2 linked regions of the Sus scrofa genome follow. The protein of the gene in region 2 interacts with the protein of the main gene of each other region in a pairwise test. Links are inferred from orthologs where the notes say so. Each region holds a gene or a part of one and is shown on either strand. Other genes may lie near its edges.

Region 1 (4,312 bases), on a different chromosome or scaffold from region 2:
GCCTTTTAGAACTGAAAACATGACCTTCTGAAAAATCTTTTTAAGGCACTTTGGATCTTGAATATACTGTTTCCTTCTTTACTGTGACTGCCATGATGACTAGGGTCAAATTTGTAATCCATCTTTAGAACTCACAAATTTTTACTGCAGCCATTTTGTGTATTAACTTTATCCATGACTTCATTTTAATTTCCCCTTATATTCTCCGTGATTTCTCCATTCAATTGCAATAACGTTTTCTGGTATCTCTGTAAACAGCATCACATCACTGGGGAGAGGGATTGATGCGAATAAATAAAAATGAAGAAAATCATCCTCTCAATCAGGGTGCAGACCTGTTTCAGCATATTTATGACAGGGTTTTTTTTTTAATTTGAATTCACCATTAATATTTTAAAATCCCAGTATTTCATATAAAAATCCAGATTTCAGATGGCTCCGTGGCAAAATGTAACAAGTTCTTATCTCCCTGGACCAACATGCTGGCGAGATGAGTCCTTAAGCCGCCACTTCGGTCTCCAGTGGTCACAGAAATCCTCACACATCCACTTTGCTCATTCATATTACCTGAGAGATTTGCTAATGAGTTCCAAAAAAGGAAGGAACGTCAGGATTCTGCAATACAAACAGGAGGGCGCGCGTCTTTTTCGTTCTTTGAAAGACGTTGTAGAAATAACAGACACAATTCATTCTGCAAACCTTCACTGGACCTCTCCGCTGCGCTGGGCCCTGGCGATAGGTGATTTAAAAAAGAAGCAGAGGTCTGGGTCCTGGTTGGCTGATGCCGCCAGGAATTACCGCCACGAGCACAAGGAGCGTTGAACTGAGGTCAGTTCTGAACCGAAGGTGGAACGGTACTTAGCGTAGAATATTTATTAAAGCGTCTCAGCCAGGTTCCCCTGCATTAGACAGTCGTCCAAGCAGTCCACGGCCCGTTCGCAGATGGGGCGGGAAGACAAAGTCACGTCTCGGCTCCGCGTTGATTCACCCGCAACGCGACTCCTGAACGAGGTGCACTCTCCAAGGATGCCCGTGTTTCCGGAGCAACCGCCTGGTCCCTCCCCCTTTGACTCCGCCCCCGGCAGTCTTTCCCGCCAAAGGCCGTTAACAGCGCAGAGCATGGTGGGACCTAGCTTTAGGCTAGGTTTCACCAAATACTTTCAAGACGCCGTTTTTTTGAGAGAAACATTCCTGAGGAAACTGCTGATTCTTTAGGATTCGACAGAGATTAATAACCCCTTTTACGAGAGCTCTATATTTAATTTTGCCACAAGGCTGGTCACTCCCTTATTAAACCCCTCGACAAATCGGGAAGGCGGGAACTTTTTTCCCTTCGCGCGGAGGGTGACGTCGCGCTTGCGCGAGCGTCACTCTCGCAGCACCCGTTACGCTCTTGCGCGTGCGTAGTGAGATCGAATAGCTGCTTCCTCCCGCTTCTCTTCCTCCCTCCCCCCCATATCCGTGCGCCGAGCTGATAAAGGCGCCATTTTGGAGGGGCCGCGGGAGACGTGGTGTCGCTGCGGGCTCGCTCTCCCGCTCGCTAGGCTTGGTGGGAAGGCCTGTTCTCGAGTCCGCGCTTTTCGTCGCCGCCATGTCGGGAGGTGGTGTGATCCGTGGCCCGGCAGGGAACAACGATTGCCGCATCTACGTGGGTAACTTACCTCCAGACATCCGAACCAAGGACATTGAGGACGTGTTCTACAAATACGGTGCTATCCGCGACATCGACCTGAAGAATCGCCGCGGAGGACCGCCCTTCGCCTTCGTTGAGTTCGAGGACCCGCGGTGAGGCGGCCAGGGGCTTGCGGCCTTGAGGAAATAGGTTGGAGTAGTTGGGGAAGGCTCCGGGGCCTTCACTTGGGGAATGGGGCGGTGGGTTCTTGGGTTGGGGGCCAGACGATATCGCCCATGCAGGAGTCGAGTAAGGAGCCGAGTCGGCGTGGCTCCTCTGGTGGCCGGGCCCCACGGACGTCCCTAGAGCCGACTCGCAGGCTCGGAGCGGGAAACTGAGGCGCCGAGGGCTGCTGGAGTGGTCGGGAGCCTGGCGTGCTTCTGGGTGGGGGAGGGGCCGTTCCTATTATGCGGCGCATGTGGGCTCTTCCACCCCGGTGCGCATGTGCGGGGGCCCGCTCGCTCCCCGGCGGAGTGAGCCGCCCCTCCTGGCCCTTTTTTTTTTTTTTTCTTCTTTTCCTTACCCCTTGGCTTTCTCTGGTCACGCAGAGACGCAGAAGACGCGGTGTATGGTCGCGACGGCTATGATTACGATGGATACCGTCTGCGGGTGGAGTTTCCTCGAAGCGGCCGTGGTACCGGCCGAGGCGGCGGCGGGGGTGGTGGCGGCGGGGCTCCCCGAGGGCGCTATGGCCCCCCATCCAGGCGTTCTGAAAACAGAGTGGTTGTCTCTGGTGAGTTGGCGGGTCCGTGCGGATTGATGATAAGGGGACCGCACACCGTTTTGAAGTTTTTCTTGGTGTTTTCATGCCAGGTCTTCACTTAAACCGGAGTGCCTTGGGTGACTTTAGTTAACAAGGACTACTCTATTTGAGACTTAGCGAATTAGGTTGCAGTACCTAGAAGATAAGAAGAGCCTTAACTTTACAAATAATTTTGGACTCTTGATTCCGAACTCTTTTAACAGCTCGTTAAACGGGATGTTAAAGACCGTTGGTTTTAAGTCTTGTTTTAATGTAACCTTTATGTTTAATGTGAAACTTAGGATAATTGGTATTGAAAGAAAACGCACTTTTTCAGGACTGCCTCCAAGTGGAAGCTGGCAGGATTTGAAGGATCACATGCGTGAAGCAGGTGATGTATGTTATGCTGATGTTTACCGAGATGGCACTGGTGTCGTGGAGTTTGTACGGAAAGAAGATATGACCTATGCAGTTCGAAAACTGGATAACACTAAGTTTAGATCTCATGAGGTAGGTTATATTCTTTTCCTTGGCCAGAATTGGATACAGTGGTCTTAACAGTGGAATTTGAAGGTAAGATTCAGGCAAGGGTGTCCAAGTAAAAACCCAGTAAAGTGCCAGATTTCTGGTTTGAGTTACGTTGATTCATTCAGCATGCCTGAAGACAGGTGAAAGCTTAGATCTTTCAATCGAAAGTTCTGTCTATCCAATAGGGAGAAACTGCCTACATCCGGGTTAAAGTTGATGGGCCCAGAAGTCCAAGTTATGGAAGATCTCGATCTCGAAGCCGTAGTCGTAGCAGAAGCCGTAGCAGAAGCAACAGCAGGAGTCGCAGTTATTCCCCAAGGAGAAGCAGAGGATCACCACGCTATTCTCCCCGTCATAGCAGATCTCGCTCTCGTACATAAGATGATTGGTGACACTTTTTTGTAGAACCCATGTTGTATACAGTTTTCCTTTATTCAGTACAATCTTTTCATTTTTTAATTCAAAACTGTTTTTGTTCAGAGTGGGCTAAAGTGTTGAATTGCATTCTTGTGTAATATCCCCTTGCTCCTAACATCTACATTCCCCTCATGTCTGATAAATTGTATTTTAAGTGATGTCATAGACAGGATTGTTTAAATTTAGTTAACTCTCCATGCTCTTCAGACTGTGATACTGTGTAAATGTCTATTCTGCTCTGGTTTGTGTGAACTGGGATGTTGGGGGTGTTGGTGGTTATCTTACCTGGGGAAGTTCTTATGTTTATCTTGCTTTTCATGTGTCTTTCTGTAGACATATCTGAAGAGATGGATTAAGAATGCTTTGGATTAAGGATTGTGGAGCACATTTCAATCATTTTAGGATTGTCAAAAGGAGGATTGAGGAGGATCAGATCAATAATGGAGGCAATGGTATGACTCCAAGTGCTATTGTCACAGATGAAATTGGCAGTATTGACCTTATACTAAAAGGCAAGGGTTTAAAGTGATTATATACATCTATCTTAAAACACTTGAAAACATTTTATGCAGTTATATTTGGCTACAATTGCTTTACTCTTTAAAACTCTGGCAATTGTGGCAAAATTACATGGCCCATTTTGTAACAATTTGTTTTGCTCCCTTCCCTTTTTTGTTTTATTAGGGACTAATGTGGGAAGAACTGATTAATTTGTCACAGTGCTTAGTTACAACTGTTAATGTGTGACCTGCTGTTGGTGTACTTGTGGGTACAGGGTGTCTTTAATTCCAACCAGATAGAGTATAATATCAATACTGCTAAATCTGCATGTCCTCTGTGTGACTGATATAATAGCGTTGCTACTTCATTTTTTTAAGACAAAATGAAAGCAAAATAATAGAATTCCAATTTATTGGTGTAGATAATCTAGTTGGGAATACTTTTTAAGTCTC
Region 2 (2,542 bases):
GTCCCCAATCCCTGGCCCCCACCACTGTGAAATGTGGGGACGGTGGAGTCACCCCTCTGGGCATTTTCAGAATTTCAGAAAGGCTGAGGGAGCAGAGGAGGCTCACACAGTGGTGAAGGGTTTGGCTCTGGAGTCCAGCTGCCTGGGTCTTCCATCCTGGCTCCACTACTTCTAGCCAAGGGCAAGTTTCCTCATCTGCAAATCAGTTTAACAGCATTCACTTTCTGAGTCTGTTGTGAAAATAAATGAGGGCTAAGAACTGTCTGTGGGTTGGGGGAGAATGTCTAATTCTAGCGTGTTTGGTAGGTAATCCCATACATAGAGTCCACAGGAAAGGGGGTGAATGATGAAGGGACCTCGTGGGTATTGAAGGAATCTGAGTGTCAAACGAGGAGTGACGGTGGGAGGATGAGGTTCTCTGTCTGTCCCGCTGTGTCTAAGGTGCTCTTTGTCTCCAAGGCTGTGCATCGTAAACGACGAGCTGTTTGTGCGGAATGCCAGTCCCGATGAGATCCAAAGAGCCTTCGCCATGCCGGCGCCCACGCCTTCCTCCAGCCCAGTGCCCACCCTCTCCCCAGAACAGCAGGAAATGCTGCAAGCATTCTCTACCCAGTCTGGCATGAACCTTGAGTGGTCCCAGAAGTGAGTACTGGGCCTGTGTAGGCACAGGGGTAAACTGAGGTAGGGCTGGTGGTGAATAATGAGTGCCCATAAAATTTTTAAAACCAGACCTTTTTTTTTTTTAATTGCTTTTAAAAAAGGGGATGTTCCCTGGTGGCCTAGTGCTTAAGGATCTAGCACTGTCACTGCTGTGGCCTGGGTCACTGCTGTGGTGTGGGTTCTGTCCCTGCCCTGGGAAGGTATGTATGCTGTGAGCGTGGCAAAAAAAAAAAAAAGAAAGAAAAAGATTGTCCCTGAGAAAAAATTTCTTTGTGCGTAAATTAGCATAACAATTTAAAGCCAAAGCGAAGTCCCTTTTTTATACTGTTCTGCAACTGACTTTACTTATCCCATGAGCATTTTTCCCTATTAGTGTAAAACTTACCTTAGTCTTGTTTCTATTAGCTATTTAGTAGAAATAGTTACTTAATATCAAAAGACCATTGATGGACATTTGGATTTTTACCAGTTTTTCATTTGTATAGAGTATAACAGCGTGTATATAATTGTTGGCAAACTCAGGCGTGTATTTCTATAGAATGGATTTTTTTTTTTTGAGGCCACACATGAGGCATATATGTAAGTTCCTAGACTAGGGGTCGAATCAGAGCTCTAACTGCCAGCTTACACCACAGCCACAGCATTGTGGGATCTGAGCCACATCTGTGACCTTCACGGCAGTGCTGGATCCCCAACCCAGTGAGCAAGACCAGGGATTGAACCTGCATCTCCATGGATAGTAGTCGGATTCTTTTCTGCTGCTCCACAACGGGATCTCCCTAGAATGGATTTTGAAGTGGCCTTTGGTGATCAAAATGACTGTGGTTGTTTCTCACAGAGGTGTCTGTTCTTGCCCTGCTCCAGGTGTCTTCAGGACAACAACTGGGACTACACCAGATCTGCCCAGGCCTTTACTCATCTCAAGGTAAGGGAATGGGTGGCAAAAAGAGATCTCCAAGCCTTCAAGAGGGTCAAGTAAGCTGGGGGCATGGGTGCCATCCACCTCACTCTACCAACCTTTTATTTTTCCCTAAGGCCAAGGGCGAGATCCCAGAAGTGGCATTCATAAAGTGACCCATAGTTGTGCTCCAAGAGAAGGCACCTGTAAATAGCCCTTGGATATATTGATGTCTCGTTGCCATGGTTGTCGCCTCTCCGGCCCCCAGGCCACCCTTTGACTGTGACCGAGGAGGGGGTGCTGCTGGATCCCTCTCCTCACCTGCCTTCTGGAAGACTTCCAGGAGATTGAGCCTCTGGTGCCAGGAAGCCAAAGCTTACTTTGTAGAACTGACACTAAACTACTCAAAGGACTTAGGTGCTTTGTGTACTTAACCCCACGATCCTTCCTACTTTTTAAGATAAAGAGTGATGTTGTATTTTGTGTAGAGCGTGCAATTCTGTATTAGCCTTGCCCTTTGCGTGTGCTGGCGGAAGGGAGGCCAGGGCTGGGCCTAGAGGGCGGGGACGGAGGCGGCGGACGGGGACTCCGGGAGGGCGGGGAGGAGGCGTCGGCAGGAAGTCCCGCCCCGGAAGTCGCCCCTTGCGGGGCCATGGCGGCGCCCGGGGCACGCATACCCGCGCGGCTGCTTCTGGCGCTGCAGTCCCGACCCGCGCGCCGGGCCCTGCACGATGCAGCCCCGCCACGGGACGTGCTGCTCTTCGAGCACGAACGAGGCCGCTTTTTCGCCGTCCTCGGGCTGTTCTGTGCCGGCCAGGGCGTCTTCTGGGCCTCCCTGGCCATTGCCGCCTTAACCCGCCCCCCGGCCCCGGCTCGGCCTCCGGACACCGAGTCCCCAGACCGTGGCCGCCTGGACCTACGCTCCGCGCTCTGGCGCTATGGCCTCGCTCTTGGCTGCGGCACTATCGGTAAGTGTGGGCGGGC

What was found.
Region 1: the proteins of NXF1 (region 2) and SRSF1 interact in binary tests that used the Homo sapiens proteins (3 or more experiments, as listed by UniProt). The link is inferred for Sus scrofa from reciprocal best matches to the Homo sapiens genes NXF1 and SRSF1.

What each region holds. Positions count from the first base shown.
Region 1 is NC_010454.4:34,279,308-34,283,619, reverse strand, and holds the start of SRSF1 (serine/arginine-rich splicing factor 1), read left to right. Parts: upstream 1-1,501; 5' UTR 1,502-1,591; coding exon 1,592-1,785; exon of another isoform or gene 1,786-2,212; intron 2,213-2,220; coding exon 2,221-2,405; intron 2,406-2,751; coding exon 2,752-2,924; intron 2,925-3,127; coding exon 3,128-3,322; 3' UTR 3,323-4,312. UniProt on the Homo sapiens protein: Plays a role in preventing exon skipping, ensuring the accuracy of splicing and regulating alternative splicing.
Region 2 is NC_010444.4:8,979,952-8,982,493, forward strand, and holds the end of NXF1 (nuclear RNA export factor 1), read left to right. Parts: intron 1-459; coding exon 460-642; intron 643-761; coding exon of another isoform or gene 762-783; exon of another isoform or gene 784-798; intron 799-1,524; coding exon 1,525-1,585; intron 1,586-1,695; coding exon 1,696-1,734; 3' UTR 1,735-2,036; downstream 2,037-2,542.